Linked DNA regions of Pelodiscus sinensis. The main gene of each other region encodes a partner of the protein of the gene in region 3 in a complex. Links are inferred from orthologs where the notes say so. Each region holds a gene or a part of one and is shown on either strand. Other genes may lie near its edges.

What was found.
Region 1: HDAC3 (region 3) and TBL1XR1 share a complex: the UniProt entries of both Homo sapiens proteins name them as parts of the N-Cor repressor complex. The link is inferred for Pelodiscus sinensis from reciprocal best matches to the Homo sapiens genes HDAC3 and TBL1XR1.
Region 2: HDAC3 (region 3) and NKAP share a complex: the UniProt entries of both Homo sapiens proteins name them as parts of the notch corepressor complex. The link is inferred for Pelodiscus sinensis from reciprocal best matches to the Homo sapiens genes HDAC3 and NKAP.
Region 4: HDAC3 (region 3) and GPS2 share a complex: the UniProt entries of both Homo sapiens proteins name them as parts of the N-Cor repressor complex. The link is inferred for Pelodiscus sinensis from reciprocal best matches to the Homo sapiens genes HDAC3 and GPS2.

What each region holds. Positions count from the first base shown.
Region 1 is NC_134720.1:43,459,848-43,467,589, forward strand, and holds the start of TBL1XR1 (F-box-like/WD repeat-containing protein TBL1XR1), read right to left. Parts: upstream 3,008-7,742; 5' UTR 2,818-3,007; intron 1-2,817. UniProt on the Homo sapiens protein: F-box-like protein involved in the recruitment of the ubiquitin/19S proteasome complex to nuclear receptor-regulated transcription units. Plays an essential role in transcription activation mediated by nuclear receptors.
Region 2 is NC_134723.1:33,983,048-33,990,765, reverse strand, and holds the start of NKAP (NF-kappa-B-activating protein), read right to left. Parts: upstream 3,014-7,718; 5' UTR 2,886-3,013; coding exon 2,560-2,885; intron 743-2,559; coding exon 662-742; intron 1-661. Other genes in the region: ZBTB33 (transcriptional regulator Kaiso), read left to right, coding at 3,263-3,290. UniProt on the Homo sapiens protein: Acts as a transcriptional repressor. Plays a role as a transcriptional corepressor of the Notch-mediated signaling required for T-cell development. Also involved in the TNF and IL-1 induced NF-kappa-B activation.
Region 3 is NC_134727.1:1,035,544-1,043,199, forward strand, and holds the start of HDAC3 (histone deacetylase 3), read left to right. Parts: upstream 1-4,649; 5' UTR 4,650-4,796; coding exon 4,797-4,851; intron 4,852-5,756; coding exon 5,757-5,839; intron 5,840-7,656. UniProt on the Homo sapiens protein: Histone deacetylase that catalyzes the deacetylation of lysine residues on the N-terminal part of the core histones (H2A, H2B, H3 and H4), and some other non-histone substrates.
Region 4 is NC_134734.1:9,787,910-9,795,679, reverse strand, and holds the start of GPS2 (G protein pathway suppressor 2), read left to right. Parts: upstream 1-4,761; 5' UTR 4,762-4,904; coding exon 4,905-4,998; intron 4,999-7,770. Other genes in the region: NEURL4 (neuralized-like protein 4), read left to right, coding at 95-239, 373-485, 815-980, 1,455-1,659. UniProt on the Homo sapiens protein: Key regulator of inflammation, lipid metabolism and mitochondrion homeostasis that acts by inhibiting the activity of the ubiquitin-conjugating enzyme UBE2N/Ubc13, thereby inhibiting 'Lys-63'-linked ubiquitination.

The DNA.
Region 1 (7,742 bases), on a different chromosome or scaffold from region 3:
TGTGTTATGGTAAACTCCATAACCATTCAATATACTTTACATGCACTTGGATCTATTCTTCCTCACTAAAAAAATTAACTAAAAACAAAGCAAATAGATACACATACAATATATTCACATTTTGACCATTTCAATGTACTTCATCCATCTCCTCATGTTTGTAGGATTTAACAACATTCATTACACTCATTATCTGAGTGATAATAATTACAAAGTCACAGTAAAGTTTTACAATGCTTAATATTTATATAATGCTTTGCAACTTCAAAGCCATGTACGAAACATCACTTATTGGAAGAAAAACTAAAACTGGCATTTGTAAAAATTTTCATTCATATTGTTTTGTGGGGGGGAATGCTGAGTAGCAATTATGTCTAATAATTTTGATCAACATTTATTATTCTCATTGAAGCAAGAAAACATTTAAATGAACAATATCAACTGTATACCCTTGTGTATAGGCTGAAATTAACAACTCAAGTCCCAACTACTCTTGCATGTTTAAATTTCCTTCTCCTCTTTCCCATATGGAGTGAATGATAAATATTTTCTAGGTGTTCAGAATACTATTTTGGGAGACTTGCCACAAAGTTCCCAAGACACATTCCAACATGAACCATGTGTTCACGGAGACAAGCCTGCGCTTCACTCTCAGGATCTTGAATTTTATTAGGAGAGAGTCTCAGGTAATATGTAATTAATAATAAAATAAATCACTTTGGGAAGCTACAGAATGTTTATTATTATTTACATAACATGAACAGCTATACTAAGCAGATTTACCTTAACAATGAAGTTTTTTTTAATTCTCAGGCTCTATCAAAATCTAAGCACATATTTAATTTTAAGTTCATAAATAGTCTCATTAAAACCAATGGAACTACTCACGTGGTTAAAGTTACACACCTGCATAAGTGTTTCTAGGATTTGAGCCTTAAATTTTAACTTTAAGCTGAAAAGATTAATATTAAGATGTCCATGCCAAGGCCAGACATCTGAGCTTTGGCAAAGTTCAGTGCACAATCAAGACCCAAAATTTGGCCCTAAAACTTAAGGCATTATTCAAAACTTAAACCTGAACTCTGCCAACAGCACTTCTGTCTACACTGTGTCCTACCTAAAGCCAACATTCAATATCCAGAGAGCATAGGCCATATATAATAAAGACCCTTCCCTTGTCAATATGTTTTGTGAGGCCCTCAAATATCTATTCAATATACCAGATCACCAAAGCAACAGCAATCAGGCTCAGATGTTTTATGGGACAACACAGTTTTCCAGATCATGACTCTCCATATCCTATGCTTTAACAACAAAGAATAAGCATATTTTGCGATCTCTTCCATAAATCAGTAAAGTTTTGATTTATACAGACAGGAAAATGAGGTTGTTGGGTACATCTGACAGCAAAGACCATGAGCAAACTTTACTCTGCAACCCTGAACAGCAACTACAGATGAAACTTTATCCTGAAAACTAAACATGCATTCTCAAGCAACAAGACTCTGCCATTAAGCACAACTTAAGGAGATTTTTATTATACATTTTCCAGAAAAGGGAATTTGGTGATGAAAGATTGAACTCACTAGGAACAATCTTAACATACATGTTTACCCCATTAAATAATATAGTGAAGTATGCATTTTGCCCATACAATGGGTAAATATAGTCAGCTAGCAGCACAATAAAACACGTAACTTAGGTGTAAAGCTCTTTTTTAAAATATATAATGCACAAAAAAAGATTGACTGGCTCATTTTGAATTTCTGATTAAGTTTTAAAAAATAGCCCATTAACAGGTATAAAGGCTTATTTGCAAAACTAGGGCCCATGAGTTGTCTTTTACACGTGGCCCTTATCCTGTCAGAGAAAATGTGACCCAGAAATCCACCCAGAATTAAACAGGAAACTGATCAACAATAACTTTAGCACTTTACAAGGGGGGAGGGGGAATTAATTACATATACAGATATTTTCTTCCCTTAAATCCAGGGCTGTATCTCAAATGTAGTTAAACAAAAAGGAAACACACCCCTCTAAGTTACAAATGAAAGACAATATACACCGTTGAGAATAAATAACCCCCCCCAAAAAATCACACAGAGGAAAGTGTGGACACAGATTCCCCTCCCCCACTCAAGCATGAGTTCAGACACAAGCACATTTCTCCCCAGCTTTTCTTAAAAATATACATTGCAGACACAACCCATAAGCCGACTGCAAAATAAATACAGACCTAAGGTCACACTTTGGGGTGGTCTCGCCCCCGCCCTCTATTTTAGAAATAGTAAATATGACGGGGGGGGGGAGGATTCTTCTTCTTTACACAAATCAGGCTAAAAATAGGCTATAAACCAGCCTGCCTCATGATGGCTCCTTGATTCAATTTGCTGCAAATCCCCCCCCCCCCTTAAAGCCTTTAAAATAAAATCCAAAGGAGAGGAGGAAGGGGGGAGGGGAGAAATAAGAAAGGGGGAAGAAAGGCAAAAAAACCCTCCAAAAAAACAAGCTTTACAGAGGTGCAATTTACAATAGAAACCACCAGCTCCCCCTCCCCCAAAAAAATACATTTTTAAAAAGGGGGACCCAAGTTGGGGGGGGGAAAAAAATGCATGTTACACTGGTGCCCATCCCCCACCCCCAACTATCACAGACACAAACACAGCTCCCTTCCCCCCACCCTGGATCACTTCCCCCACAGCCTCTCCCCACCCCCGCACCCCGAAAGAGGCTCCATCACCCCCCCCCCCCCGATGCACTTGATCCAGCCCAGGAGAGTAAAAAAAAAAAAGCCCCAGAACACCCCCAAGTCCTTACCTTGCCGTTGATGGCTGAGTGGCTGCTTTTGCCCTCCCCCCTCTCCTTTGCAATGGAGGCAAAAGAAATGCACCCTGGGTTTCCTCCTCTGTCTACAGCTTGAGACACAGACACACACACACTCTCCCTCTCAGCCGAGGTGCCCACTCCAAGCAACCATCCAAAAAAAAAAAAAAGGGAGGGGGGGGCAAAAAATAGCAAAAGGGGGGGGGGGAGAGAAAAATAATAGCCACCCCGCAGGGCTGTGAGAGTCAATGGTATCCCAAGGCAGAGTGGGGGGGGAGGGGTGGGGGAAGGGCTGGGCGATGAAGTCCCACGGAGGGGGAGGACCCTGTGTGTGTGATTTCGATTGAAGAGGAATCGAGGCAGAATGTAAAAAGCTGTTACTAAGGGAAGGAGCCAAACGGTTCGGAGCAGCCAACGGCTCAGACACTCCGCGCTGGGGAGAGCGCGCGCGCGGTGGCCAGCCGCACAGAAATGAGAGAGAAAGAGACGGGCGAGGAGCAGAGCAGCAGGCCCGGGCGGCTGGTTGCAAAAGCAACCACCAGCCTCCAGCCCAGCCATGGGGGAGGGGAGGGGAGACCCTCCTCTTCTCACACGCCCCCCCCCCCCCCTTTCCCAGGCAATATGGCCAAGGCAGGGCTGCTTTTCAGGATTCCGCAGGGGCCAGCCACATGCTGCCTGGGAGCAGGGTGGGTGGGATCCTGGGGTGCCAAGGGAGATACCCGCCTCTCCCCGCCGCCACCTTCCCTGTCACATGCCTTCCCAGCCAGCTGCACAGGGCCCTCTGGCCAGGCTCCTTTATGATTAGGCACACCACCCACCAGAGGGGTGAGGGGCACCCAGGGCGAGCCCTGCTCCTTCCTGCCCCAGCTTGTTGCGTAAGAGGTGGGCAACAGTGCAAGGCGGGCACTGGTTGATTATTAAGAATATATCGTAGCAGCAGCCTGCAAAGCAGCAGCAGGGTGAAAGCGGGAAGGACACGGGGGTCCAGTACAGTGAAGGGAGACCCTCGCACTTCACACACACACCGCTTGCAGCAAGCTGTATCAAGCGATATTGCCCAGGATTATTACCAAGACCATGTAAAGCAAAGCAAGCAGTGTGCACAGAGGGGAAGCATTCGGCAGAGACCCTCCTCTGCTTCCAGGAACACGCATACAGTATACTCCCCAAGGCCTGGCAGCACTTTACACTCAGCCTTATTGCCAGGTGTTGCCTTGTTATGAATGATGTACAAACCAGCAGCAGCCAGAAAAACAAGCAAGGAGTGGGGGTGGATGCTGGGATTCCAGTATTGCATGAGACACCTTCCCTTAAGACCATGCATGTGTACACACACACACACACGCACATGCACCCAGACACCCATGCAACAGCCTGCATCGTAGGGCAGTAATGCTGGGTAGTGTGGTTTTATTGTCAATCATCTTTTACACGCCTCCAGAACATGTTTCATGTCCAATGCATTTCCATAATATTGGCATTTAGCATGTATATAATGCTTTATTTTAAATTTTTTTCTTTTTTTTTTAACAATGGTAGGCCTCCATCCTACAATTGGTTCTGAGAGGGTTAACTCCAGAGCTCCACCCATGCTCAAGGGAACACCTACCTAGACCAATTGCATTCAGGGACTGCTTTCTTTTTCAGAATATAAAATGTCTTATTGATAATAATGCCATGCTGTTTGTTTTAGGACACTTTAATACTATTTAGCCTTTATGTCACAGGGTTTTAAAGCAAGCTTCATTAGTGTGAATCATATTTGTTAGTACACAATGCTTTGCATTTTAAAGTGCTTTGTGGATCACACTTACAGGCTCTGATTCAGCAGTCAAATTTGCACGTGCAGACGCTTGAGCCTGCACAAAGCCCTACTCCCTATAATCCTCGTGTGGATCTGACTGCAGGATCTGGTGCCAGGGTGAAATTCACACTGCTGGGGAGAGTCTGCTCCACCTGGACAGGATGGCCCTGAACTGTTCAACTGTGGAGGCTGAGGGCCCTGGTGCTTGTCTTTGTTAATTTTTTGTTATTATTAATATGTATTTAGCCCTTTATGGAGTATAGCACTTTCTCTTTTCAAATTCTTTAATTACGAAGCCAAAATAACTCAAGTCTATCAGCCGTTAAAACAGGGGTCAGCAACGTACGGCACACGTGCTATAAGTAGCACACAAAATGTTTTTGAGTGGCACGCTGGGAGTCCGCACTGCCGCTGGAGCCTCACAGCCGGTGCACAGCTGCAAGGCTGCAACCCCAGCTCCAGGGGACAGGGCAGGGAGGTGAAGAAAGCAAACTCAGCCCCCACCTCCATGGGCAGACCACAGAGCTACACATGGAGGAGTTCTGCCCAGCCTCCCCACAACGAAAAAGTCCTGCCCACCGCTGGGCATCCACCTCTGTTGTTCCTGCGGGGCAGGCTGCAGATTGGGCTGCACAGCTCTCATGGAGCATGAGCCACTAGCGCCCTCCTCCTTCCCTGGCACCAGGTTAGGCTGCGCTCCATCCAGTTTCAGTGGGAGGCGGCAGCACTGGGGCAGAGGACCCTGTACACACAGGAAGCTAGTGGGGGCTTGGGTGCCTTCAGGGCTCTGCACCCATGGGGATTCGGTCTGGGGGAACACAGATCTGTAAATAGAAAGTGAATGCCACTTCTGAAAGGTTACCAAACCCTGCTTTAAGACATGCTAGAGTCTAGTAGGACTTTGAAGCCAGCTGGATCACATGCAGGGTTTGAGGACCGCAGAAAGTCAGTTATATATTCTTATGTAGAAGCCACTTGGTTTGGGGGGTTCAGATTGTTACTGGATGGATATATTTTTAAAAAAATGATTTTTAATTTTGAAAATTGTGAAGGGGCCTAGAACAAGTAAGTATATTTGTGCATGTGTCGATAAATACAACAATTAATAGACCTTGTGGAGTGCTTTTTGGTACATAATGCTTTAATAATGTTAGCACTTACACAATCTTAAAATAAAAAAAATATAAAATGAGGCCCCACTCATACCAACACCAACATTTGTTTCACTACAAGCATGGGAGTAGACAAGATGGAATCAACAGGGCCACACACTTGTGTTTGCAGGACAGGAGTAGGTTTTGATTTACAAAGCCTTCAATAATTTGGGACCTTGCTTCTTGAAAGATTAATTCTTTCCTTCTTTGATTCCATGGCAGCATTGTTTAGGATGTGAAACTCTAGTTTCTATTATACGCCCTTGACCTTGGAACTCTTGTCCCTGCATAAATCTGAGCTCAGTCTGCTGGGTTGAGATATATGGGGTAATTGGACAAGGAAGATTATTTAGGGTGCTTGTTAAATGAGTAATCTATGTTTAGGATTTACAGAGTTGGGTTATGTGTAGAACCTAGGGAGTCATGTTTAAATAAATAATAATCTTTAGCACTGTTATTTTTTCCAAGCCCTCTCATACTAAAGGAGATGGAACTTTTGTGGTTTGGTCCTATCAGAAGTTCAGAGATGTGGTTAAACTCTGGATCCAAACTTTGAGAGACTTTGGATCTGGTGGGTTCCTGAGCACATTAGCATTGTGCGGCACATCACTTTCAGTCTCCCTCCAACTACAGCAGAACCTCAATTTTACAAACACCAATCTTATGAATGACCAGTTATACAAGCTATTTTTCCTGACAGAAAACAAACAAATCACATAATGAAAGTGATGTTGATGAAGAACAAGTCAACATTCCCTTCACATTCCACTGTGTTCAACATATTAGAAATTGCTTTACGGGGGTTTGAAAGACAAGAAAATTCTGCAGTACACTGTACTGCAATACAGTGTTACAGGCACTCGGGAACGGCTGTTGTCCATAACGCTGAAGTAGTAAAAACTTTAAAAACAACAAATAGTTCTACAGCATCTGAAGTAGTAGTTATGGACTTCAGTCATGTGTGGGGTTGGAGGCTGCCATCGCAGGCTCAGAGGAGGATCAGGGCTGGGGAAGGGGAAGTTGAGGTTTCTGACCCTTTGGAGCTCCAGGTCTCCAGCCGGGGGAGGAAGGGAGGAGAGCTAAGCACTTGTGCCTAGCAGAAGCATCAGGACCCAGCACTTTAGACCTGTGGAGATTGATGGGACTTATAGGGCTTCAGTCATGCAGCTCCCAGCTCCCCACAGCTCTATTTCTGCCCCTCAAATGCCCCAATCGGGAAGGTCTCTAGCTTCGGGGGAGTGCTAGGGATGAAATTGGTGCTTCCCTCAGAGCTTAAGCCCTGAGCCACCGAGCTCCACCTCAATCTAAATCCTCAGAGCTCCTGAGGATCAGAAGCCCCAACCTCCACCCCACCCAGAGCCTCGACCCTGTGGCTAATGTTCCAAACTTCCTCTTCCATGACTGAAGCCCTGAACCTCAGGGGTAAAGCCCCCCGCCCCAAGCCCTACAAGATTTGCATTTCCTCCCTTTGTATCTGTGCTGCTGCATGATTGAGGCGTTCCAGTGCCACAGGATGTCCAGTTGACTGATAAGTAAATAACACTGGTGTTTGTATCTTTTGACATTCTACTGCATGTGTCTTGTACTTATTGTAATTCTGAGATTTTATTGATGAATTCCTTAATCCATGTTCCCTCTAAGCTTTTCCATCCATGTGCAGAATAATTTTTTCACATGCACCAAGGCATGAGCAAATGTGCAGCGCCAAAAGAAACACAAAACTTTGCTGTGGGTTCTCTGCTAATTAGGCAGGTGGCATTTGACTCTCTCAAGCAACTGCACAAGCACACACTTTTTACAGGAAACTCCGTCCTTAATCCCCAAATAAGCATTCTATTGTACAGAAAATGTTCTTCTTCCAGTGTTTGTTTGAAGTCTCATTGCGGTTGCTGGAACTATGGCTAGTGGGGAATACGCTGTACTGTAGTAAATGTTAGCAGTATCAAGCACTGTATTTGTAC
Region 2 (7,718 bases), on a different chromosome or scaffold from region 3:
ATATTTAAAATTATGAAACATCATTTGAAGTGGGGATTGTTTGTCCAAAAATCAAATACATGTATAGAGCTCTGCAAATGCAGATATCCACTTTATATCTGTGGGTATGCGCATCTGTGGATGTTGATATCCACAGCTCATTTTTTAAGATATGGATGCAGGTGAGGATATAATTTTTGTATATAGAACCCTGAATATTTGCAGATATCTACTTTATATCCAGGGGTATCCACATCCATGGATGTCAATGCAGATATTCTCAGCTCATTTTTGCAGATACAAAGGTGGATACAAATTTTGTATCCACACAGGGATCTACACATGTACAATTTTTGCAAATTCAGAGCCTGTGTTAGTAATCAAGGAAACGATTAAATAGCTAATATCTGAATCACTCTTCAAACCACAATACTAAGACAACATCATTTGATCTACAACATGCTGAAACCTTATGTAATTGATTTGTTGGCATTATACAAAATATGGTATCCAGATATGGCTGTTTAGTGATTTAACTTTGGAGACATGTAATATGAATTACAAAGAATAACAACAAGACATTTCTGTAAATATTAGTGTTGATATTAATTAAATGTTATCTTATATAAGCCTCCAAATTAGAGTGCCAGAAGGCAAAAAAATCCCATGAAAAATTGCTTACTCTGGGTCAGGAACCTTTGGTGACAGTCCCCAGACTTCAGGTGCTCCCAGTTCTCCAATCCTCTCTCTTTCATTCAGTCTCCTATAAAGATACATACCTGCATTAAAACCGAATGTGCTACCATCAAACAGGTATTCAAAACCTGAATAGTTTGTTTTTATCAGCATTTCTCGTCTCCATAATTAAATTTGCTGAAAGGATATTTTCTTCATGTTAGTATCTAAAATTTGCTTATTCTCTCCAAAAACAAGACACTTCAACACTAATTTTTCAGTTACTGGGGGGCCAGTATGTTTGAGACATTTTTAAGAAACACCTCTGCATGCTTCAGTTAACCCTCAGACTTTGTAGTCTGGTAAAACAGGATTTTTGGCCACATATGTAATGTTCCTGATAGTTTTTTCCATTACAAATTATGTATCTAAATATTTACCATGATGATTACATCCACTTCCTAAAACAAACAGGCAAAGGTACCTAGTCTGTGGCAGATAACTGCACAAAACATCTCTCCATGTGCCCTCGTCTAAAAAAATGGAAGACCTAATTTGTAGAGACAACACATTCTAATATGTGATGCTTTGCTTCTGATCGGAACAATCAGACTTGTCATCACTGTTGACTGTAATCAGGGATACTGGCAGTTTTTATATTGGGGGTGCTGAAAATCATCAAACCAAACTGTAAATCCTGTTATAACTGAAACCACTTCAAGCCAGAAGGAGCAATAGCACCCTCTGCACCCCTAATTTCAGCACCTAAAGCTGTACTATATGTAGGGCCCTATCAAATTCATAGACATGCAAAATGCATCGTCGACTGTGAAATCTGGAGTCCTCCCAATGAAATGTGGACTTGTGTGTGATTTTAGCCTATACTATACATGGGGAAACCAGTGTTTCTCACATTGGGTGTCCTGACCCAAAAGGGAGTTGCAGGGGGATCACAAGGTTATTTTAGGAGGGCCACGGTACTGCCATCCTTAGTTCTGTGCTGCCTTCAGCACTGGGCAACTATACAGCAGTAATTGTAATTTGAAAGGCAGCATCTTGCCAGCAGCAGTTCAGTGGCAATACAGTACTGCTGCTTTCAGCGATGGGCACCTGGAGAACGGCAGCTGCTAACTAAGGTCCCAGCTCTGCAGGCAGAAGTGCAGAAAGAAGGATAGCAGTACCATAACATACCATCCTTATTTCTGTGCTGCTGCTGGCAGTAGCAATGTCTTCCACGCTGGACTCCCAGCCACCACTTTCCAGATCCCCAGTTCTGAAGGCAGCACCACCACCATCTGCAGCACAAAAGTGCAGTAGTGCCACCCCCCGCCACTCAAACCTTGCAAACCCCATACAACTCCTTTGTAGATCAGGACCCCTGCAATTGCAACAGCATGAAGCTCCAGCTTTTAATATCCAAAATCATTATATTTACCATTTAAAAAATCCTATAATCATGACATTGACCCAAATGGACTATGAATTTGGTTGGGCCCTAACTATCTGGAAGATTGTCACTTTTGCAAGCTACCCATGATAACTTAACAAGTTGGGCCCTATCATACCTGTGGGGCTGCATCATTGCATTAACACAGATGTCTCCACACTATTTCATTTCATGTCCCTTTGAGGCTCTAATTTACATCCCTGCATAATTTCTTTAATAGACAAAGTTAGGGAAAACGGACCTAATTTTCCAAAAAAAATAAGGTAGAGCAAGGACTACTATGAGAAGGAGAATCTGGTAGCTAAGTGGTAAGGGGCATTTAAAAGAAGATTGGACAAGGCACGGAAAGGTACGTAACAGGGAACACGCCTGCACTGGGAAAAGGGGCGGGGCACACGCTGCAGCTCGGGTAGCCGGGGCGGGCGAAGGCAGCTCGGTTGGGGGGGGGGGAGACTCGCCTCTGCCGCAGGATCTCTTCCTTCTCCTTCTCATAGTAGTCCGGCCACTGCTTGCCGCCGCCGTGGTGATGGTGCCCGTGGTGAGCGGAGGAGGAGCGCGGCCCGCCCGGCGTGCGCTCCCGGGAGCGGGACCAGCTGCGGCTCCGCCGATGCTTCGAGCCGTTGCGCTCCCGGGACCGCGACCTCCTGCCCCGCTTCTCGGGGGACGCAGGCCGGTGGGGCCGGAGTGTTCTCGGGGGCGAGGGACTCGCCGAGGAGCTGCTGCCGCCCTTCCGCCGGGGGCCTGGAGATCCTGGAGGGCTTCGAGACCGGGACACAGGCGCCATCTCGGCCTCCCGGGCCGGGGGCAGGAGAGGTCTCCCGGGTTGCTACCGTAGCGCCAGCAGCGACCGCGGGGACTTCCGGGTGGCGCACTTCTGAACTATCCCGTGCAACACCACTTCCGGTTTCTGCGCCCTTTCCCCCCATATTAAGAAAGTGCTTCCGGGTACAACCACCCACATCCGTCCCCCGGGAAACAATTTCCGAGTGTTGCTACCAACCCCTTCCGGTACTCGTGCACAGAGCAATTGAACAACCGAGTGCAACAGGCTGAGTCGCCGCCCGGAAACGAGGCGGTGTCGCTTGGTTCCTACGGCAGGGTTCGTTGCGGGCGACCCCGTGCGAGCGGCCAGACGGCTTCGGGTTGTCGGAGTCCGGCGGGATGCAGGAGAACGGGGTCGAAGCGCCAGGTAAGGAGGGACCAAGAGGCGGGCGGGCACCCCGCCCCCATCTGACAGCGGGGCGGCCTGACCCTCACGCATGGTGCTGCCCCCCATGTGGGTGCAGGGGACGCAGCCTGCCCTGTGGCCGGGGGAGCCCAGCGCCCATGGCTCTGCTGGAGATGGGCTCCCCCCAAAGGTCCCGCGGGGCAGGCCTCAGCCTCCTGGAGTCGCCAGGCTGAGAAGAGAGAACAGGTGGCCCCACCCGGCGCAGTGGGGAGGGTGAAACTCGGCCCCCGGGAGCGGCCTGAGACCAGCATCTCCCCGACATAGGTCCCAGACCAGCCATCAGATGGAAGCAGCGTTTAGTCAATACTTAAGGCAGTCAAGCAACAGCAGCAGCGAGAGGCGCTGGATATCCCATCCCATCCCCAGCCCCTTCCATTGCTGTAGTGAGGTATCACTGAATAATTTAATCCGTGGCTCTACAAAGGTGCCATTAAACAAGAAGGACTCAGAATCCTGTGGGAGATGGAAGTGCCCAAGGAGAACAGGAGTAAACGACAGTCAAAATTTCTGTCCTCCTACTGTTTTGGCATTGTCATCAGCATCCTGTTCTGTGCAATCTGTGAGATGCAACCTAGTTGGTCACTGTGCTAACAGGGCAAGCTGCATACAATGCTTCAGTCAAAGTAAAAGTCAGTAGAAAAGACTTTCCCTCACTGACTCCATATTACACTTGATAACTACGGTGACCTGTACATGGGGATGAATATGCAAGTTCTGGAAAAGCCTCATGATGCAGCAGCCCATCTTACTGACCAGCATCAAAAGGCAAGAGTGCATTTTAATCTAGTGCCTTCAGGAACTACACAGACTAAGCTTTGAATGTCCGATAGACAGTTCAAAGTCACAGTGCTATTCTCCAAAGTTTCTCTTCAAATGGGATGTGTCCCAGCTGCCTGAATTAACATCTATGACTTTTTTCTGGAATGATGGAGCTGTCCACAACAGGAACAATGTTTAAAATAAGTGGAAACAGCACTTTTCCAGTGGACAGCTCATGGTTATGGAACTTCCTTCCCCCCAAAATTAGAATGACTGAATCTTCCTGCTTTCGTATTTCAATGCAAAATCCAACCTTTTGCCCTTAGTTTTTCCACAGCAGTTGACCCTTTGCCCCCACCAAACAACCATCAGCAATGAAGGAATAAACAAACATGCAAAACATACAAAAAGCCACTACGTTTTCATTAGTCCTTAGATTTTTTTATTTTAAAAGGTCACCTTAGAATCAAAATAAACAACACAGCAATAATCCAGAGAGTTATAAAAGTTACATAATAAAAGCAAACAGCCTTTTTTTTTTTTAAATGGGTGTCAATGGAGGAAATCTTTATCAAGGATGTTGTTTGTTTTTTTAAAAGCCCTCTTGTAGGTAACAGTCTTTCTTTTGCTTGGGGAAGTAATGTATAATATTGTCCTGACATCAAGTAAGCCTGCCATAAATATCCAAAGAATTATTTTATAATATTATCTCATACTGTCATGTCATCTTATGTAAGCCAAAATCAAATCGAATAGAAGGATATGTCTCAACGTTGTTTATAGTTGGACAGCTGTTTCAGTTACCAGATCTATAAGGTGTGGCATAAGCAGCAAAAAACCTGTTCAAATTATATATGGAAATTAGTAAATGTATAGCACTATGCATTTGGTAAATTGGTAAATGTATAGCACCAAAGAACTGCACTATGCATGGTATTCTTACATTATGTTTCTATCTATGCAGTGAGGCTGTGTCTAGACTACATGCCTCTGTCGTCAGAGGCATGTAGATTAGACACATAGGCAAAGGCAAATGAAGCCGTGATTTAAATGATCGCGGCTTCATTTACATTTACATGGCTGCCGCGCTGAGCCGACAAACAGCTGATCAGCTGTTTGTCCACTCAGCGCGCTAGTCTGGACGCTCCCCTGCCGACATCAAAGCCCTTTGTCGGCAGCCCCATTATTCCTCGTGGGATGAGGTTTACCGGGGCTGCCGACAAAGGGCTTTGATGTCGGCAGGGGAGCGTCCAGACTAGCGCGCTGAGCGGACAAACAGCTGATCAGCTGTTTGTCGGCTCAGCGCGGCAGCCATGTAAATGTAAATGAAGCTGCGATCATTTAAATCGCGGCTTCATTTGCCTTTGCCAAAACAACAAATCTACATGGCTCTGTCGATGGAGCCATGTAGTTTAGACGTACCCTTAGGTTGGGATATCTCTTCCATTGCCAGAAGTGCTGTGGGGATAATGACAATGAATATCAGGAGACTTCCCTTGTTTAATGCTTCTGAGTGATCTCTTTAAAGTGCTAGTAGACTATTGGTTGTTTTTTAAGTTTTTCATGTTACAGACTAACATGGCTACCCCTCTGAAGCCTATGTTCTAATAGAGTAGGAGGAGAGTAGTGAATTGAGTACAAGTCAGTGAGCCTGAGTTCTAATCCCAGCTCTGACACAATCTGTGGAACTAGACTAAATTGTGGCCAGAATTTTAACTGAGCTGAGCACCTTCAGCCTCCAGTGAAGTCAGACACTCAGGCTGTGTCTACATTGGCATGATCTTGCGCCAGAGCGGCCGCTTTTGCACACAAACATGCTGCCTGTCTACACTGGCGGGGAGTTCTTGCGCAAGAACACCGACATTCTAATGTGTGAAATCAGTGCTTCTTGCGCAAGAACTATGATGCTCCCACTCAGGAATAAGCCCTCTTGCGCAACTGTTCTTGCGCAAGAGGCCAGTGTAGACAGGCAACATTAATTTCTTGTGCAAGAAAGCCCGATGACTAAAATGGCCATCGGAGCTTTCTTGCGCAAGAGAGCATCTACACTGGCATGGATGCTTTTGCGCAAAAGCACATCTCTTGCGCAACAGCACATGCTAGTGTAGATGCTCTCTTGCGCAAATACTTTAACACAAAAACTCTTGTGTTAAAAGTATTTGCACAAAATCTTGCCAATGTAGACGTAGCCTTAGCTTTTAGTTGCACTGAAGACAGCTACTCATTACCTTGAAAACTAAGACCATGAATCTCTCCTTTAGTTTTTCTGTTGGTAAAATGGTGATTAACATATTCAACTATCCCTCAGTAGTCTTCTGTGGGTTAATTAGTAATTGTAAAGCTCTTTGAAGTATTTTATACATAGGTTACGTCTACACTGGCACCCTTTTCCGGAAATGCTTAAAACGGAACAGTTTTCCGTTATAAGTATTTCTGGAAAAACCGCATCTACATTGGCAGGATGCTTTTCCGGAAAAGCACTTTTTCCGGAAAAGCGTCCGTGGCCAATGCAGACGCGCTTTTCCGGAAAAAAGCCCCGATCGTCATTTTCGCGATAGGGGCTTTTTTGCGGAAAAGATTACTGTGCTGTTTACACTGGCCCTTTTCCGGAACAATTTTTCCAGAAAAGGACTTTTGCCCAAATGGGAGCAGCATAGTTTTTCCGGAAAAACACTGACAATTTTACAGTAGATTGTCATTGCTTTTCCGGAAAAGCAAGCGGCCAGTGTAGACAGCTGGCAAGTTATTCCGGAAAAGCAGTTGCTTTTCCGGAATAAGTGGCCCATTGATAGTGTTTATATAATTATTGCATTCTACATATAACAGCATGCTGCTACATGTGGCATATGATCCAACTCCAAGTAATGTTAAAAGAAAGTCTTCCACAGACTTTAGTGGGAGTTGAACTAGGTTTTATTACAATATTAAAAGCCAACCAATGCATAAAATACAAAACAAAGCAAAAAATAGAAATCAGATGGGAATTAGTGTTCTACTGTCCTTCTGGCATTAGTAGTGTTCCCAGCATCACAATATTGCTCTTTGTATAGATTATTTCTGTCCCTAGAGATAATCCAGTTAAAATGACTGTCAAATTTTCATTGGTACTGAAAATTGAACCTAGGTATTCAGTGAAGATATTTCTGTCTCATGACATGTTCATGAAAGCTTGGTTCTGTTATTTAGTCTCTAGCAAATTTTATTTATTCTTTTAAAATAAATTAAGTATAACTCTGTCATGACTGAAGACTTTTCCCTGTCTCACAGAAGTAAGTCTTTAAAAATGCTCTCTGTCCCTAAGTATTTCTACCATGAACATTTCCTTTTTCAAAAAAGAAAACTACTCTTAAGATGGTTTAAGTCAAAACTTCACATCTATTGCTCTTAGGGATGTTAAAATGGTTAAGTGGTTTAACTCAGAGTGGTTTAACTCAGAGCCTGGTCCCACTGCATCCTGCAGCATCCATTTAGTCACTTTTTAATTCCAACATCCATTTGTCACACCAAACTGAGAAAGCAAATTTCTGAATTGAACGCCCTCCACACAAAATGCTATAATCAAGCAGTGCCCAACCACCAGGCTGCAGCTCACTGTCAGGCCACAGACCTTTGGCTGCTGGGCTGCGGTGG
Region 3 (7,656 bases):
GCCGGACCGGGGGGGGGGGGGCCGTGGCCGGAGCCCTGCGCCAGCCGGACCGGGGGGGGGGCCGCGTCCGGAGCCCTGCGCCAGCCGGACCGGGGGGGGGGGGGGGCCGTGTCCGGAGCCCTGCGCCAGCCGGACCGGGGGGGGGGGGGCCGTGTCCGGAGCCCTGCGCCAGCCGGACCGGGGGGGGGGGCCGTGTCCGGAGCCCTGCGCCAGCCGGACCGGGGGGGGGGGGCCGCGTCCGGAGCCCTGCGCCAGCCGGACCGGGGGGGAGGGGAGAGGGGAGGCTCTGCCTGGGTTTCAGCGTCCGTCGTGGCCGCCAGTCCCGGTCCTGTCCCGGAAGCCCGGTCCAGCAGCCGCCTCTCGCCCTCCTGCCATGCCGGGGCAGCGTCTGGTACCTGAGCCTCCTGCCGCCGCTCATCGGTCCTTTCTCCTCACCTGTCGCCTAGCAACCCAGCATCCCTGCCACGGGCTGCGGCCGGAGCATCCTTCTGTGCCCGGCCCGGCCTCGCGCCCCCTCTCTGGACCCCCGCAAAGCCCTGGCGCTGCGGGAGGGGAGAATCGGGGAGCCCCGCGGGACAAGCCAGCAGCGGCGGGCGGGAGAGGCACGAAGGAGGCAGGTGCGGCGCCAGCGTTTGCAGGCTGCTCACGGCGCGGGGGGGCGGGGATCAGGGAACAAGAGCGGGCGCCTCCGTTTCCAACTCCCCCCTCCGCCCCCCTCCGCCTCCCCCGCCCGTGCCCGGCGGGCGCCAGGCGCAGTAGAGGGACGAAGCGGCAGCCGAGCTACCGAGAGGGCCCCTGCTGGGAGGGAAGGGGGCCGAGTCCTCTGCGCTGGGGGGCAGTGAATAGCAGCAGGCTCCAGCAGGGGTGAGAGCCGGGCTCTGGTGGCACCAGTGTGCTTGGCTGGTGCTGGCTGAGATTTCACAAGGGTCTACTGACAAACCCAACTTCTCCTGGCTCCCTTGCAGCCGGGCCTTATGCCAGCCCGGCCCGGCCCAGCCCAGCCCAGCCCAGCCCGGCACAGCTCAGCACAGCCCTGCCGGGCCCAGCCCAGCCCAGCCCAGCCCGGCACAGCTCAGCACAGCCCAGCCCGGCACAGCTCAGCACAGCCCTGCCGGGCCCAGCCCAGCACAGCACAGCCCAGCCCGGCACAGCTCAGCACAGCCCTGCCGGGCCCAGCCCAGCACAGCTCAGCCCAGCCCAGCCCAGCCCAGCCCAGCACAGCACAGCACAAGCACAAGCACAAGCACAAGCACAAGCACGGCACGGCCCGGCACGGCCCGGCCCAGCACAGCACAGCACAGCACAGCACAGCACAAGCACGGCCCGGCACAGCACAGCACAGCACAGCACAGCACAAGCACGGCCCGGCCCGGCCCGGCCCGGCCCGGCCCAGCACAGCACAGCACAGCACAAGCACAAGCACAAGCCCGGCCCGGCCCGGCCCGGCCCGGCCCAGCACAGCACAGCACAGCACAGCACAAGCACAAGCACAAGCACGGCACGGCCCGGCACGGCCCGGCCCAGCCCAGCACAGCACAGCACAGCACAGCTCAGCCCGGCCCAGCCTCTTGCTAGTCAGGGCAAGTGCAGCCCCAGACTGGCCCAGCTGGCGGGGCAGCAGAGTGTGGTACTGCTGGTCACCATGCTCTCCTGTCCCATCCCCCCAGGCAGGGCGGGGGGAGGGGGGATCCTGAAGCAGCTCTGGACACTTCCTCTCGGAAGGTCCCGCAAGGTCGCCCTGCCCCAAAGCCCTGAGTGCAGAGGCCTCCTGGCAGCTCACCCCCTCCCCCTCCCTGGTATTTAATAGGGGATAAGAACCCATCAGGAGAGCTGGTGAGACCACCCAGGTGCATGGCAGCTGCTCAGGGGCACCCAGCTCTGTGTCCTGCCCAGGCAGTGGCCGGGTGAGCAGCAGCTGGCTAGAGCCCAGAGCAGGGCCAAGGGAAAAGCACTGGAAGCCCAGGGCCGAGCGGCCGGCCAGCAGCAGGGCGACTGGGGCGTGTTCTGTAACTAGCTTGCACCAAGCAATGTGACCTCCCGCCACAGCGCAGGGGCCTTACCACGAAGCCCCAGCCCGTCCCCTAGACGCAAGCGGGACTGTGTGACAAAGATTCTACACATGCAGGTTCAGTTCAGTCCCCAGTCAGTCCCCTGGCTCAGTCTGTAGCCTCGCTCTCCCAGCAAAGCCGTGCTGGTCCAGAGCGGCTTTCTGAAGGGTGACTCGCTGGGAGTTACTGAGAGGTGAGAGCCGGTGAAATACCTGTGCAAGTGAGTCTCAGTCTCCCATTCTCAAGTGGTAGCAGAGACATAGCGATCTGCCAGTTCCTTTGCATCGTTGCAATGAACAAGACTTATGCCCTTTGTGGTTAAAGTTCTTCATTTGCATTACCCAGGGCTTCTTTCTCCCTGGCTGGGGATTTAGTGGCAGGGCTGCATGCAGGGTCCGTGTTTGCTCTTGCACCGTAATGGGAGACGGATACGTGACAGCAAAGCAGGCAGCATCCATGCCGTTCCAGGAGGGTTAAATGCCCCAGACCTTCTCCCATACGAACAAGCACTTTGAGCTGCGTTGGCCTTGTGTCCAGCCAGGCATTTGTAAGCGTCCAGTGAGGCCTGGGACTTGGGCATGAGCTGCCACCTGGTCTGCCAGTGCCACCCCAGCCTCCTTTCCAATGCTTCGTGCTGCCAGAGGCATCAGTGCCATTTGGCCCCTTTAACGCTGTTAATACCCCAACACCACAAAGGCAAAAGTGCCGACTCCCATATGCAACGGAGCGGCCAATTGCCCCCATCCGAGCAGGCACAGACCTGGCTGTCAGCCCAGGAATTCAGGACCTCTGGGCTTGGGGACTGTGGCTCATTTGACTGAGGAATGAAACCTCTCACCCTGAAATGTTCCAGCTAGTCTAGTCCACAGCGGCGCAGCCTGCCAGGGTATATCTGCCCAGCACTCCACTCCGCACTGGCTGCCTAGGGACACTGAGGGCAGCGTTGGATTTCTGCTGCCATGGTCAAAGCCCTCCATGCCCTGGCTGCCTGAGAACCTCTGCCTCACAGCTGAGACCTCCCTCAACAGCTGCATTCTAGCCAAGCAGGGCTGTGAGTCAGGGGTGCCTCAGAGGGATGGGGCCTTCACAGGCGCTGGGCCTCTGGCTTATTGCCCAAAGTGACGAAAATGACCAGAGGCTGCGCTGCACTTTGCTTCTCACGCAGTCACTGGTCACACGCGGCAAACACCCTGCCCAGCCCACAGCAGTGCGAACGCCCTGACTGACACCCTTCCTGCCCCAGCCACACCCAGGCAGGAACTCGGCTGGGGAAGATGCCTGCCAGTGCCAGGGACTGACAGGGATGTGCAGGCCGAGGGCTGGGGGACAGCCAGGCTCTGGGGTCATCAGCAATAAGGCCTGGATGTGTGGGAGCAACAGAGCTTGTCTGGCCGTGTTCAAATGTGCAGTTGTAGCTGTGTCAGTCTCAGGGATTGGAGACACTGTACTGGATCATCTTCTATTGGCGAGAGAGGCACGCTTCCAAGCCACGCGCAACTAGGCCGCTGACGGGGCAAAGGGGCAGCTGCCCCAGGGCCAGGCCATTCAAAGGGGCCTGGAGCCCCTGCCCATGGCCACTGCTGAACTGGAACGATGTGGGCTGGGAGATGGGCCATGGGGCAGAGTGGAGCAGGTTGCTCTGACTCTTGCTGCTGCGAGTGCGGGGTTGGGACGGGGACCACTGCTGGGGTGTTGTGCCCTGCCCCCCCCAGGTAATCCCAACAGCTGCCCTAGGCCTTGCAGGTCCCATTCATAGGATGGTTCAGGTGGCTGCCACTGGGGCCCCCAACGCACAGGGTCTGGGGGCAGCCGCCCCATACCATCCTATGGATAAGATGAGTCTGCCTAGAACAGTTCCCGTTCCCTTCAGACCCACATAAGAAGAAAAGATTGTGGTGGGGAGATTTTGTCAGCAAATTGCTACATTTTGGCTAGCTCCTCTCCAGAAAGGCACGTTCCTGAAACTGACTCTTAATTCATAAGACAGCAGCTGCCTCAGTAGTCTGTCGTAGGGCTGTCCGATAGCTTTTTTGGGACAATCCTTTCTATTGCGATGAGAATTCCGTTAAAAGCATTTGCGGAAAATCATGCCAGTCTAGCTGTAGCCATCACGTCTAGGCTGGGCTGTGCCCTGGAGAAGCAATAAACCCTCTGTTCTTGCTGCTGCGGGGCTGCAGGGCCGGGAACCTCAGCTCCCCCTCACAGCACTATTAAAGACTGGCCCACTTATTTCTGTGGCTGTGCCTTGGGGAGGGCTCAGCTTCCTGCCCCCAGGCCCCTGAGCTGCCAACTTCCCACGTGCTCTGAGCCCTGCCCCCTGCCCCTCCCCTGGCCGGTCAATACAGGGCGTGCAGGGGCAGCGCCTCGCCCCTCCAGCTCCCACGAGGAGGCGGCTCGGCGCTGCCTCTGGCCAATGGGCACTGCGGGGCGGTGCTGGGGGCGGAGCCTGGCACGGACAGCCCCGCCCACTTCCTCCTTCCCCTGTTCAGTGGCGTTCAGCGGAGAGCAGGGCGCCAGGCCGGGAGCTCGCGCGAGCTGCGCGCGCAGCGACTCCCCCTGCAGCGGGCGGGGCCGGGCGCAGCCGCGCGCCAGGAGCCTGCCGGACCCCGCCCCCGGCCAACCCGCGCAGCCGCAGCGCCGGGCGAGCGAGCTCGTGCGAGCGCCGGGGGCGGGGCGGGGCGGCGCGGTGACGTGCCCGGTTGTGGGCGGGGCGCGGAGCGGGGCGGCGGGTGCTGGCGGCGCCGCGCCATGGCTAAGACCGTGGCCTACTTCTACGACCCGGACGTGGGCAACTTCCACTACGGTGCGGGGGCGGGGCCTGTGTGGGGGGCGGGGCCTGCAGGGGGCGCTGGGCCTGTGGGGGGGTCGGGGGGGCGGGGCCTGTGGGGGGGTCGGGGGGGCTGGGCCTGCGGGGGGCGCTGGGCCTGTGGGGGGGTCGGGGGGGCGGGGCCTGTTGGGGGGGTCGGGGGGGGGCGGGGCCTGCGGGGGGCGCTGGGCCTGTTGGGGGGTCGGGGGGGGCTGGGCCTGCAGGGGGCGCTGGGCCTGTGGGGGGGTCGGGGGGGCTGGGCCTGTTGGGGGGGTCGGGGGGGGGCGGGGCCTGTGGGGGGGTCGGGGGGGCTGGGCCTGCGGGGGGCGCTGGGCCTGTTGGGGGGGTCGGGGGGGGCTGGGCCTGCAGGGGGCGCTGGGCCTGTGGGGGGGTCGGGGGGGCTGGGCCTGCGGGGGGCGCTGGGCCTGTGGGGGGGTCGGGGGGGGCTGGGCCTGGTGGGGGGGTCGGGGGGGCTGGGCCTGCAGGGGGCGCTGGGCCTGTGGGGGGGTCGGGGGGCGCTGGGCCTGTTGGGGGGGTCGGGGGGGCTGGGCCTGCAAGGGGGGCTGGGCCTGTGGGGGAGTCGGGGGGTCTGGGCCTGTTGGGGGGGTCGGGGGGGCTGGGCCTGCAGGGGGCACTGGGCCTGTTGGGGGGGTCGGGGGGGCTGGGCCTGCAGGGGGCACTGGGCCTGTGGGGGGGTCGGGGGGGCTGGGCCTGCAAGGGGGGCTGGGCCTGTGGGGGAGTCGGGAGGTCTGGGCCTATTGGGGGTGTCGGGGGGGCTGGGCCTGCAAGGGGGGCTGGGCCTGTGGGGGAGTCGGGGGCTGGGCCTGTGGGCAGGGGAGTGGGGTGTCTGGCTGCAATCCAGTGTATGATCTGTGGGTGCTGATCGCCTCTATTGTTTCCAGGCGCAGGGCACCCCATGAAGCCTCATCGCCTGGCACTGACCCACAGTCTGGTGCTTCACTATGGGCTCTACAAGAAGATGATTGTAAGCATTGCTTGTCAGGTATTGGGGTTGGTGTCCTGGAAAGCCCTCCACATGGTTCAAATGTAACTATGTTAAAACGCGGCTATGAAATATGCTCGTCCCCATTTTATAATATGTCTTATTCTTGCTGACGAAAGTCATTTCGCCATATTAGGCTAGAACAGTGGTCCCCAACCTTTTGGGGCTGCCAGGTGCCCGGGGGCAGGGCTACTCAGGCGCTGGGCACCTGGCAGCAGGGTCACACACGCACCCAGGGGCGGAGCTGTGCACGTGCCTGGTGCTGGTGCCACCCATGCGCTGCACTCCCGGGGCCGGCGCCGCTCCCGTGCTGCACGCCCAGAGGCCGGCACCGCCCTTGTGCCATGCACCTGGGGGCAGGGCTGCCCAAACTCTCCGCACCTGGGGCCGGCGCTGCTCATGTGCCGCATGCCCACGCATGGGGCCGCCCAAACACCGTGTGCCCGGGGCCGGCACAGCCCTTGCACCGCACACCCGGGGGCAGGGCCACCCAAACACTGTGCACCTGGGGACGGGGTCGCTCATGTGCTGCGCGCCCGGGGCCGACGCTGCCCATACGCCGTGTGCCCAGGGGGCTGGCACCGCCCATGCACCCGGGGGTGGGGGCGGGGCTGGTCCCATTCACTCGGCGGCTGCACAGAAATTGCCCGGCAAGCGCCATGGCGCCCGTGGGCACCGCGCTGGGGACCACTGGCATGACTCTCTATTTGCTGGGGATGCTTTAAGTCAGTGGTTCTCAACTTTTCCAGAATTCTGTGTTCTTTTTAGGAGTTTGGTTTCTTGTCTGTATTTCAAGTTTCACTTCACTTAAAAATACATGCTTATAAAACGAGGTATAAAAATGCAAAAGTGTCACAGTGCACTATTACTGCAACATTTCTGACTTTCTCATTTTTGCCAAATAATTGCAAAATATATTGATTGAAATGTTTCTGCGATATTCCAGTGTGGTAGTTGAGCCTCTTTTTCACTTGTGAGCCTTATTCTTTTGGTTGACAGTGAAGTGACAGCAAGTTAGAGGTTTTTCTCCACATTGTGTCTCGGTGGCAGTCATAGCAGAAAATGAGACTGTTCAAAGATATGCCGACCTGAAAGATAACAGACCTCCCAAAGCATGATTCCCACAGTTAATGTACTCTTTTTCTGCATTGAACACCAGAACTAGGTTAGTGTAGAATCATTATATTTGCAGACTATGGCCTGAGGGAAAACTGAAGAATATAATCTTGCTGTCCAGCAGAGAGGTTACTGCTGCTAACATTTGGCAAGATGAACAAGGTTTCTTACCCAGTTGCGTTGAGCTGAGTTGTGCTGAATGTTGGAGAAATCATTTTGCTCAGCTCAGTTTCCCCTATTTAGGCCTCCGTGATATATTAATAAAACACTGAAAAACAGGTAAAGTCTTTGACTTGACATTTGGACTTCCAGAATTTAGTTTTCTTGATAAAAGCATTCACTTTATCGTAAAGATTCAGATTGTTGGTGTCATGGCCTTTCATGGACAAATTGTAATCATTCAGCTTGCTAGATATGTCTGCAAGGTAGGCAAGTTGTACTAACCACAGGATGTTGTCAAACACAGAAACAAACAGGGATGAATGATCAGAGAAAAACTTATTAAATGGGTATAATTCAAAGCATCCATCAAGTACTTTGCCTTTTGAAAGCCAGTGAACCTCAGTGTGAAGCAACAATTCCTTATGATCTGACCCCTTCTCTTGACAAAGAATGCAAAACAGCTGAGCATGGAATGGCATGGATTTGATAAAATTGACAGTTCTGACATACTCGTTTAAAAC
Region 4 (7,770 bases), on a different chromosome or scaffold from region 3:
CTCGATGCCTCAGGCTTTCTTTAGACTCATGCAGCATTGCTGCCTCAGTTAAATTCCTCCCCCCATGCCTGACTCCCATCCCCTTCTTTCCCAGATGACTACTTCGCAGAAGATCCCAAATTCAGCCTCTGCTACTGTGAGTCGTGCCACAAGCTGCGGGGCGATGAGGCCTATTATAAACGGGGGGAGCCCCCCCGGGACTATGCCCTGCCTTTTGGTTGGTGTCGCTTCAACCTCAGGTATCAGCCTGGAGAGAGGGGGATCTGGTTCACTATTGTTGGGAGGGGGAGGCTGGGAAGAGGGGCTCTTGCTGGGATTGGACTGGAATGGGGAGGGGGGGACACTGGCTCTGACACCCTCCCACCTCGGCAGGGTAAACCCCCAGCTGGAGGTCGCCAGCACCTGTAAGAAGTGGCACATGGCTTATCACGGCACAAGTGTCGGTGCTGTCCGGAGGATGCTGGACCAAGGGGAACTGGGGGCAGGTAGGAGGGACCCAGCACAGAGCACATTATGCCCTGCCCAGACCAGGGGATGGAACTTATGCATCCTAGCTCCCAGCCCATGCCCCCCCCCACCTCCCGCCCACTCTGACCCACCAACTACCACTCCCTTCCCAGAGCAGGGGAGAGAACCCAAGAGTCCTGGTTCCCAGCTGCACCCTACTCCTCTTCCAGAGGGTCACATGCATGAAGCATGACCAGTCCCATTATGGGGTTCCAGGACCCAAACTCCTACTGGGGAGGGAGCAGTGCTTAAAGATGGGGCCTGCGCTTAGGGATGGGGCCTGGCTCACGGCTGTCCCCTGTCCCAGGCAGTGCGTCCATCCTGAGCTGCCGGCCTGCCAAGGTGGACCCCCAGGGTGGAGGATACCATGAGGCAGAGAACAGTTCCCCAGGCCATGGGGCTGAGCCCCAGTGCATCCTGCTTTCGCCCACCCTGCGCTACGCTGGCCTGGAGGCCTTCGCCACCAAAGTGCAGTGAGTGCCACCAGCCATCAGGGAGCAGCGGGGCTAGGGAGGAGGAAAGCAGTGAGTCCAGCCTGCCACTCTAGTGGGGTTGGCAGGGGTGGGGGGGGAATGACAGTGAGTCTTGCCAGCCACTGGGGAGCATTTGGGCTAGGGGAGAGGAAAGCAATGAGTCTCATCTGCCACTCAGGACTAGTGGGGCTAAGGGGGACAGTGAGTCCTGCCTGCCACTGGGGAGCAGTGGGCCTCGGGTGGAGCAGTGAGTCTCAGTTGCTGCAGGAGGGAGCAAGACACTTGAGAGCAGTGAGTCTTGGCCCCGGTTAAGGGAAGCTAGCAGGGGTGAGGGAGGGAGATCAGAGTCCCACCTCTAGAGGCCAGTGGGTGTAAGGGAGGAGCAGAGAGTCCCAGTTGCCACTGGCGGGGGATAGTGGGACTAGAAATAGTCTGTGAATCTTTGACCCACTGTGTCTCCTCTTCTCCCTGCAGATTCCGGGACCCCAAGTCACAGCGGCAACATGGGGCACAGGTGGCCTTCCAAGTGTGTGTGCGCCCTGGCTCCTACAAGCCAGGCCCCCCATCAGCTGGTGCCCCTGAGCCCCCGGACCCTCGTTTCAGCATGGCTGAGATAGAGTGGGTCACCAAGGAGAAAGGCGCCACCGTGCTCTATGGCCTGCTTGTGCGTGTGGAGTGACCCTCCCCACAGCCAGCCAGGGGGAAATCTACCACCACCCTCCAATGGACCGTAACCCCCCCCAGTGGCTGGAGGCATGGGGAGCAGCAGATCTGCAGCGCACATCTTTCTCCCACCCTGGACCAGCAGGGGGCACTGGATGCTGGGAGGGGCTTTCAGCAGTATGACCCCCTCCATCCCGATTCCAGAAGGAAGATTGGTTTTTTGGGGGGTTGTCTCTCTGCAGCATGCTCTCCCTGTGCTCAGCTGGGGATAATCACCAGAGGAACTTGCCTTTCTTGGGTAGGGGGGGTTATCTTCAGTGTGTATCACCCCCACACACACGTCTGCACTCTTCCACCCCCCCTATGGCCTAGCCTAAGGGGGGAGAATTTGGACAAGATACAGAGTCTGACACTGTTTTAAATCTGGGGGGAAGCCCCTCCCCCCATACACACAGCTCCCTCTGGTGCCCAGAGCTGTATTTTGCACATAGAAAAAGCTAAGAGGGGGCAGACTTGGGGGGGACTTACAGCATGGTGGGAGATTTTGGGGGGGGGAATATATTGCACCACAAAAGACTTAATTTCTTAGGGAGGACCTACCTCTGTGGGGGAGATCTCTACCCTTCCACACTTAAATAGCTTAGGGAGAGTAAGTACCCCTGGCACAGATTGCTATGATGGGGAGTCACCTTCCATGGCTGGGGGGCCCTGATCTTGCCTCCCAAGGGGGGGACTCTCATTCGGAGGGAAAGTTTCCCAATGAATATTTCAAGGAAGTGCTAGATTCAGTTATTGGGGTGTGGGAGAGTTGGAGTAGCCGGGGGGAGTTGGGGGAATTTGTTCTTTTAACTCCCTCTTTGTTCCCCCGTTTGGCAAGCCCCCTGCTTTGAGGAGGAGGGATGTTGAATTGTAGCACTTAGTGGTGGTTCTAGCCTGCCCCCTCTCTGGCTTGGGGGAGGGAGGCAGGGGACTCCCTGTTTTTTCCACACCATAGTGGAGGGGAAAGGTTGGCCAGGTTACCTTGCCTCCATCCCCCTCCCACCTTCTGCAACCACTGTCCTACACCCCTTTCCTGTGCAGTAAGCACTGCTCCTGTGGTGCCAGTAGCCCCCAAAATCAGCCCTACTGTCCCCTCACCCAACCATCCCTCCTTATTTATTACCTATTGGTGTTGTTGAAATGTGAATTTCCTCGTGGGGGAACCTTGGGGGGGCAGGTTTAGCACTCCTTCCCCACCTGTTACTTTTTTAAAAGTTTTATTTAAGCTGCTTTTCCATTGTAAGGTTGGGGGGAGGTGAAGTTGCATTATGGGGTGGAATGGAGGGTTCTTAGAGCCCCCTAATTGATAAACCACCATTCAGCCACCTCAGCTGTGTCTGTGTTTGTGTCACCAGAAAGGGGGGAGACTGTTAAACTAGGCTGGTTACACATATCTGGTACCATGACTTAAAATTGCCTTTTTCTGGTGCAGACCAGGGTTAAGTGACTATACAGATTTGTTTTGCACAAAAAAGCCCCGATTGTGAAAATGGCGATCGGGGCTTTTTTGCACAAAAGTGCGCCTAGATTGGCACGGACGCTTTTCTGCAAAAAGTGCTTTTGCAGAAAAGCATCTGTGCCAATCTAGATGCTCTTTTCCGCAAATGCTTCTAACGGAAAACTTTTCCGTTAAAAGCATTTGCGGAAAATCATTCCAGTCTAGACATAGCCCACATGTTCGAGGAAGAGTCACATTCTCTAATAACCATGGGATGAGTACTGCTCCCTCCTACAACTTCCCCCTAGATTGCTCATGATTTGGAAGGGAGCAGATCAGTGGCCGGTGTATGGGGCCTGTGCTGTGCCACACAGCTCACTGTGCCAGGTATACCCCTAACCTCCCCAACAACTTTGCTAACACAAATGTAAAGGGCTATAATTCCAGCACTCTTTCCTACAGCCCCACCACAGCTGCCCAGCACCCCACCCAGGACTTACCTCACTCTCTGATTTCCCAGTACAGGTTCTCCTCGCTACCTGATGCCTTTCCCCATAGTCCTGCCACCACACTGTCCTGTACTGCGTTCTCCCCTCCCCCCCCCATCATCACACCACCTGGACACTCCCATCCTGTCCTCTCACCAGCCCTGCTGGGTGATCTCTGAATCCTATGGTCAGAGTGGGGGGCAGGTGCTGTCTCCCAATGCTGCACCAGCCACACTGGTGAACTCAGCAGTTCCCGTACGCTAGGCACACTGCCAATGGGAGCTGCAGGGAAAGGGCTTGCAGGCACAAACAGAGCCCCCTGACCTTGATGGACCAGATAGGAGTTGGGGGTGAAGCCACTTCCAGGAAGTGGCCAGCAGGTTGCTCTGGCTCTCTGCCTGCAGACCCCATCCCCACAGTTTCCATGGGCTGTGGCAGAGCAAAGGTGTAGATATCGGGTGCCTAGGGGCTGCAGGCTGCTCCTCCAAGCAGAGCCCCATAGGCACAAGACTCAGTTTCTAGACTAGGGGTCACCAACCAGTCAATCAGGATCTATCAGAAGATCTTGGAGCCTCTGACAGGTGATCCTGACTGGTTTGGCTGGAAGGTTCTCAAGTGCCTGCATGTCAGTTGCCCTTCCCCCACTGCTCCTGCCTAAAGCCTCAGAGCTGTCCCCTGGGAGCCTTCTGCATGTAGTGTGGGGTGGGGAAGACAAGAAGCAGGGAGGTGCTGATGTTGCTCTGTCCCCTTCCCTTGTATCCCAACTTCACAGAGGAGGGTGGGGCCTCATCAAAGGGGCGGGCTGGGGGTATTTGTGTTAGAGGCAGATCCTAGACTGACAAATTCAAAAAGTGATCTGCTTAAAAAGGTTGGAGACCACTGTTCTAGATCAATAACAAAACAGCAGGGTGCTGGTCACCCGAGCACACACCCCCAGCACCCAGTTGGAGTGGGAGGCCCCCCGCTGTCCCTTTCTCCTCCCGGGCGGGGGCCAGCTATGCTGCCTCTGCCCACACAGGCGCATGCCCTGGGCTCGGCCGAAATCCCACTCCTGCCACCAGCGGGCGGGGCCAGCCTCATTCTGATGCACGGCCAAGCGGCAGAGCCTGGTCTCGCTGGGAAATGAGAGAGGGCGGGGCCATCTGACGTAAGGGCAAGGGCGAGGCCGGATCCCGTTCTCACGCGCGCACAGAGGGCGGGATAAGCTGACACGAGAGGAGCGGCCGGGTCGCCGCAGGCGCGCGCCCCGGAAGCGGAAGTGTACGGCTGGGGCCGGTGCCCGAGCGCGGAGCGAAGATGCCGGCGCTGCTGGAGCGGCCTAAGCTTTCCTCGGCCATGGCGCGCGCCCTCCACCGCCACGTCATGGTGGAGCGCGAGCGCAAGCGGCAGGGTGAGCCTCGTTCGCGTGCTCCGCGTCACGCGCCCCTGCCCTCCTCGTGTCTCACGTCACCTGTCCAATGACCCCTCTCCGTCTGGCCACACCCCTCAGCGGCTCTAGCCCCGCCTCCACCTGTTGTCCCCACCTCACCGTGGCCCTTCCCCCTGGAAACCCCCCACCCCCTGGAACACTCCACGTCCCCCCTCCCGCCGCATCCCTCCACCACACCACCCTGGGGTTCCCCCACCGACCCCAGGCCTCCCCATATTCTCCTCCCCCACTGCACCCCCTGGGTCCCTCCATATCCCCCTCCCTCCACCCCATCACACACACACTCCCTGGCTCCCCCATATTCCCCTCCCTCCACTGCACTGTCCCTTGGTCCCCCTGCCCGCACTGCTCCTTCCATCACACTGCCTCTTGGGAACCTCCCCAAGCCTCTGTCCTACTGCTCCTCAAGGACACCCCCTCGCACTCTCCTGTGCTGGAGGAGGGCACAGTGCCTTATAGGGTGTGGCCAAGAACCTCTCCTGGCTTCCTGAGTCCCCAGTGCTAGCCCCATCTCTCCGGAGGCGGATTTCAAGGGGCCCAATACCAGGGGTGGAGGGTGACCCTCAGACACCCCCTCCTTTTGTTCCCTGTTTCTTAGACATCCCCTGAAAAACAGGCCTGAGCCCCCTCTCCCCTGCTCTTCCTTTCTCCCTCCGTCCTCACATCAGGGGCACCTCACAGATCAGAGCCCTAGAGGTCAGGGTCACCAGCCACTTCCTGCTGCTCTGCTCTAGCCTCCCCTATAGCTGGGCCCCAGTCTCCCCAACAGCTAGGGTGACACCTCCACACTGCAGCCCTTGGCAGAGGAAAGGGGGGACTAAGGATGAGAGCGTGGGAGAGGGTGGCACTGCGGGACCAACCCAGCAGCACCCCAGCTGCTCTGCCCCCGGCTTCCCCAAGTCAGCCGCTGCTGAAACTGACCAGCGGCTGACTTGGGGAGGCCACGGGCAGAGCAGCTCCAATTGTCCGGCTGGCCAGAGCACTTCCAGGTTCCGGTTGGTGCCAGACTATCAGGAGTGCCGGACCACTGGATGCCGGACAATTGGAGTTTTACTGTACATTGTTAAAGGTGTGGATGAGCTTGTCATTAGTGTTCCCTGTAAGCTGGGTGCTTGGGCAGCCACTCAGGAAAGATTTGAATGCCACCCAGTTTTAGAAGAGTGCTCATAGCCTTAAGCTGATTCTGCTGAATCGGGCCCTGCACCCGAGAGGGCTCTACACCCGGAAGTCGGCTGCTCCCCCTTGCCTGCGCACGCTGCCAGCTGCTGCTGCCATGCGCGTGTGTTTGCACGTGGACGGAGTGACACCCGGGCGTGATGTGACGTCGTCACGGCCCGGGATTTTTAAAACTGAAAAGTGCAGGTGGCTCGGACTCGGAGTCTGGCCCCGCATTGTAGAAGGCAGAAGGTAAGGTGGGGGAGGGGGGAGAGGCGCAGTCAGCTCTCAGCCACCTGCAGCCCGGGGAGCGGTGACTCACCCTGAGCACATGGAGCCGGGGTGCAAAGCAGCGTTGTGGGGCGCAGTCAAAGCAGGTGGGGTCGCGCTTCCCCCACGGGGCCCCAAGCAGCTTGCAGAGGCAGGCCTGGCCCAGCCCGGCCCCTGGCTGCCGTCTCTTACCTGAGGGGCTCCAGCACCAGGCTCTGCAGGCTGAGGCCACGTGCGGAACCGGCCGCTAGCACGGCCACCACCTGTGGCAGCTTGAGCAGTGGCAGCATGCTCCAGCGTCCGGTTGGCCAGGCCAGCGCCAGCTGCGCCTCCTTCGCGCGTGCTGCCCGATCCGGCGCAGCCCATCTCTTCCGCTGGCAGCCGCGGGGCCAGCCCTAGCTTGGTTGGGTGGGGAGGTGGATTGTGCAAAAACGGGAGCGCTGAGGGGTGGGGGACACTGGCGGTGGGGAGCCTTGGTTCCCAGCCTGACGGATGTGATGGGGGGGGCAGAGGCATAGCGAAGGGGGTGCAGGGAGGGGCAGTTGCCCCAGGGCGCCACGCTAGGGGGGCGCCGGGCTGGGGTGAGAGCAAGCGCACGCTGTGCAGGCTCACCTGCCATGGGCGGCAAGTTATATGGCCGTCCCCCCAGCCCCGAGCCATCCCTGCTGTGCGCAGCATTCAGTCGGCTTCGCCTTGCCTGCGCACACTATGCAGCATTTCCAGGTGACCGGGGAGACGCCTGGGCGTGACGTGATGTCACGTCATGGCCCAGGACTTTAAAAGTGTTTGGTGCTGCGTGGTGCTGGCCTACCTTCCAGTTCGGAGTCCGGGGACTTTTGGGGTCTGAGCACAGACTCCGGCCCCCAAGTGGAAGGCAGAAGGTACGGCAGGGCAGGGGGAGAGGAAGACGTCTTGTGCGGAGGTGGAGGGGAGAGGGAAGATACAAATTCCAGGGGGCCAAGTGCAGACAATGAGGAAAAGGGCAGGAGGGGAGGTGTCAGTGTGAGGAGGGACAGGGTGATGCTGGGAGAGGAGAGGAGAGGGGAGGGGAAGGGCATTAGGGTCTGGAGGGGGGGAGGGGGAGGTGCTGGGAGAAGGCTTGAAAGGAGGGGTGGCCATGAGAAAGGTGGGGATGGAGCAAGCCATGTGTGAGGGCACAGGGGCATGAGGGGAATGGGGCAGAGAGTGGTGAGGGGGCGGGCATCAGGAAAAAAGGGGGCAGGGGCAGTGAGGGAAGAGGATTCCTGCTGATCTTATCCTAAGGCTTTCAGTTATCCAAGGGATTGTAGGTTGCAGGCATCCACTGCT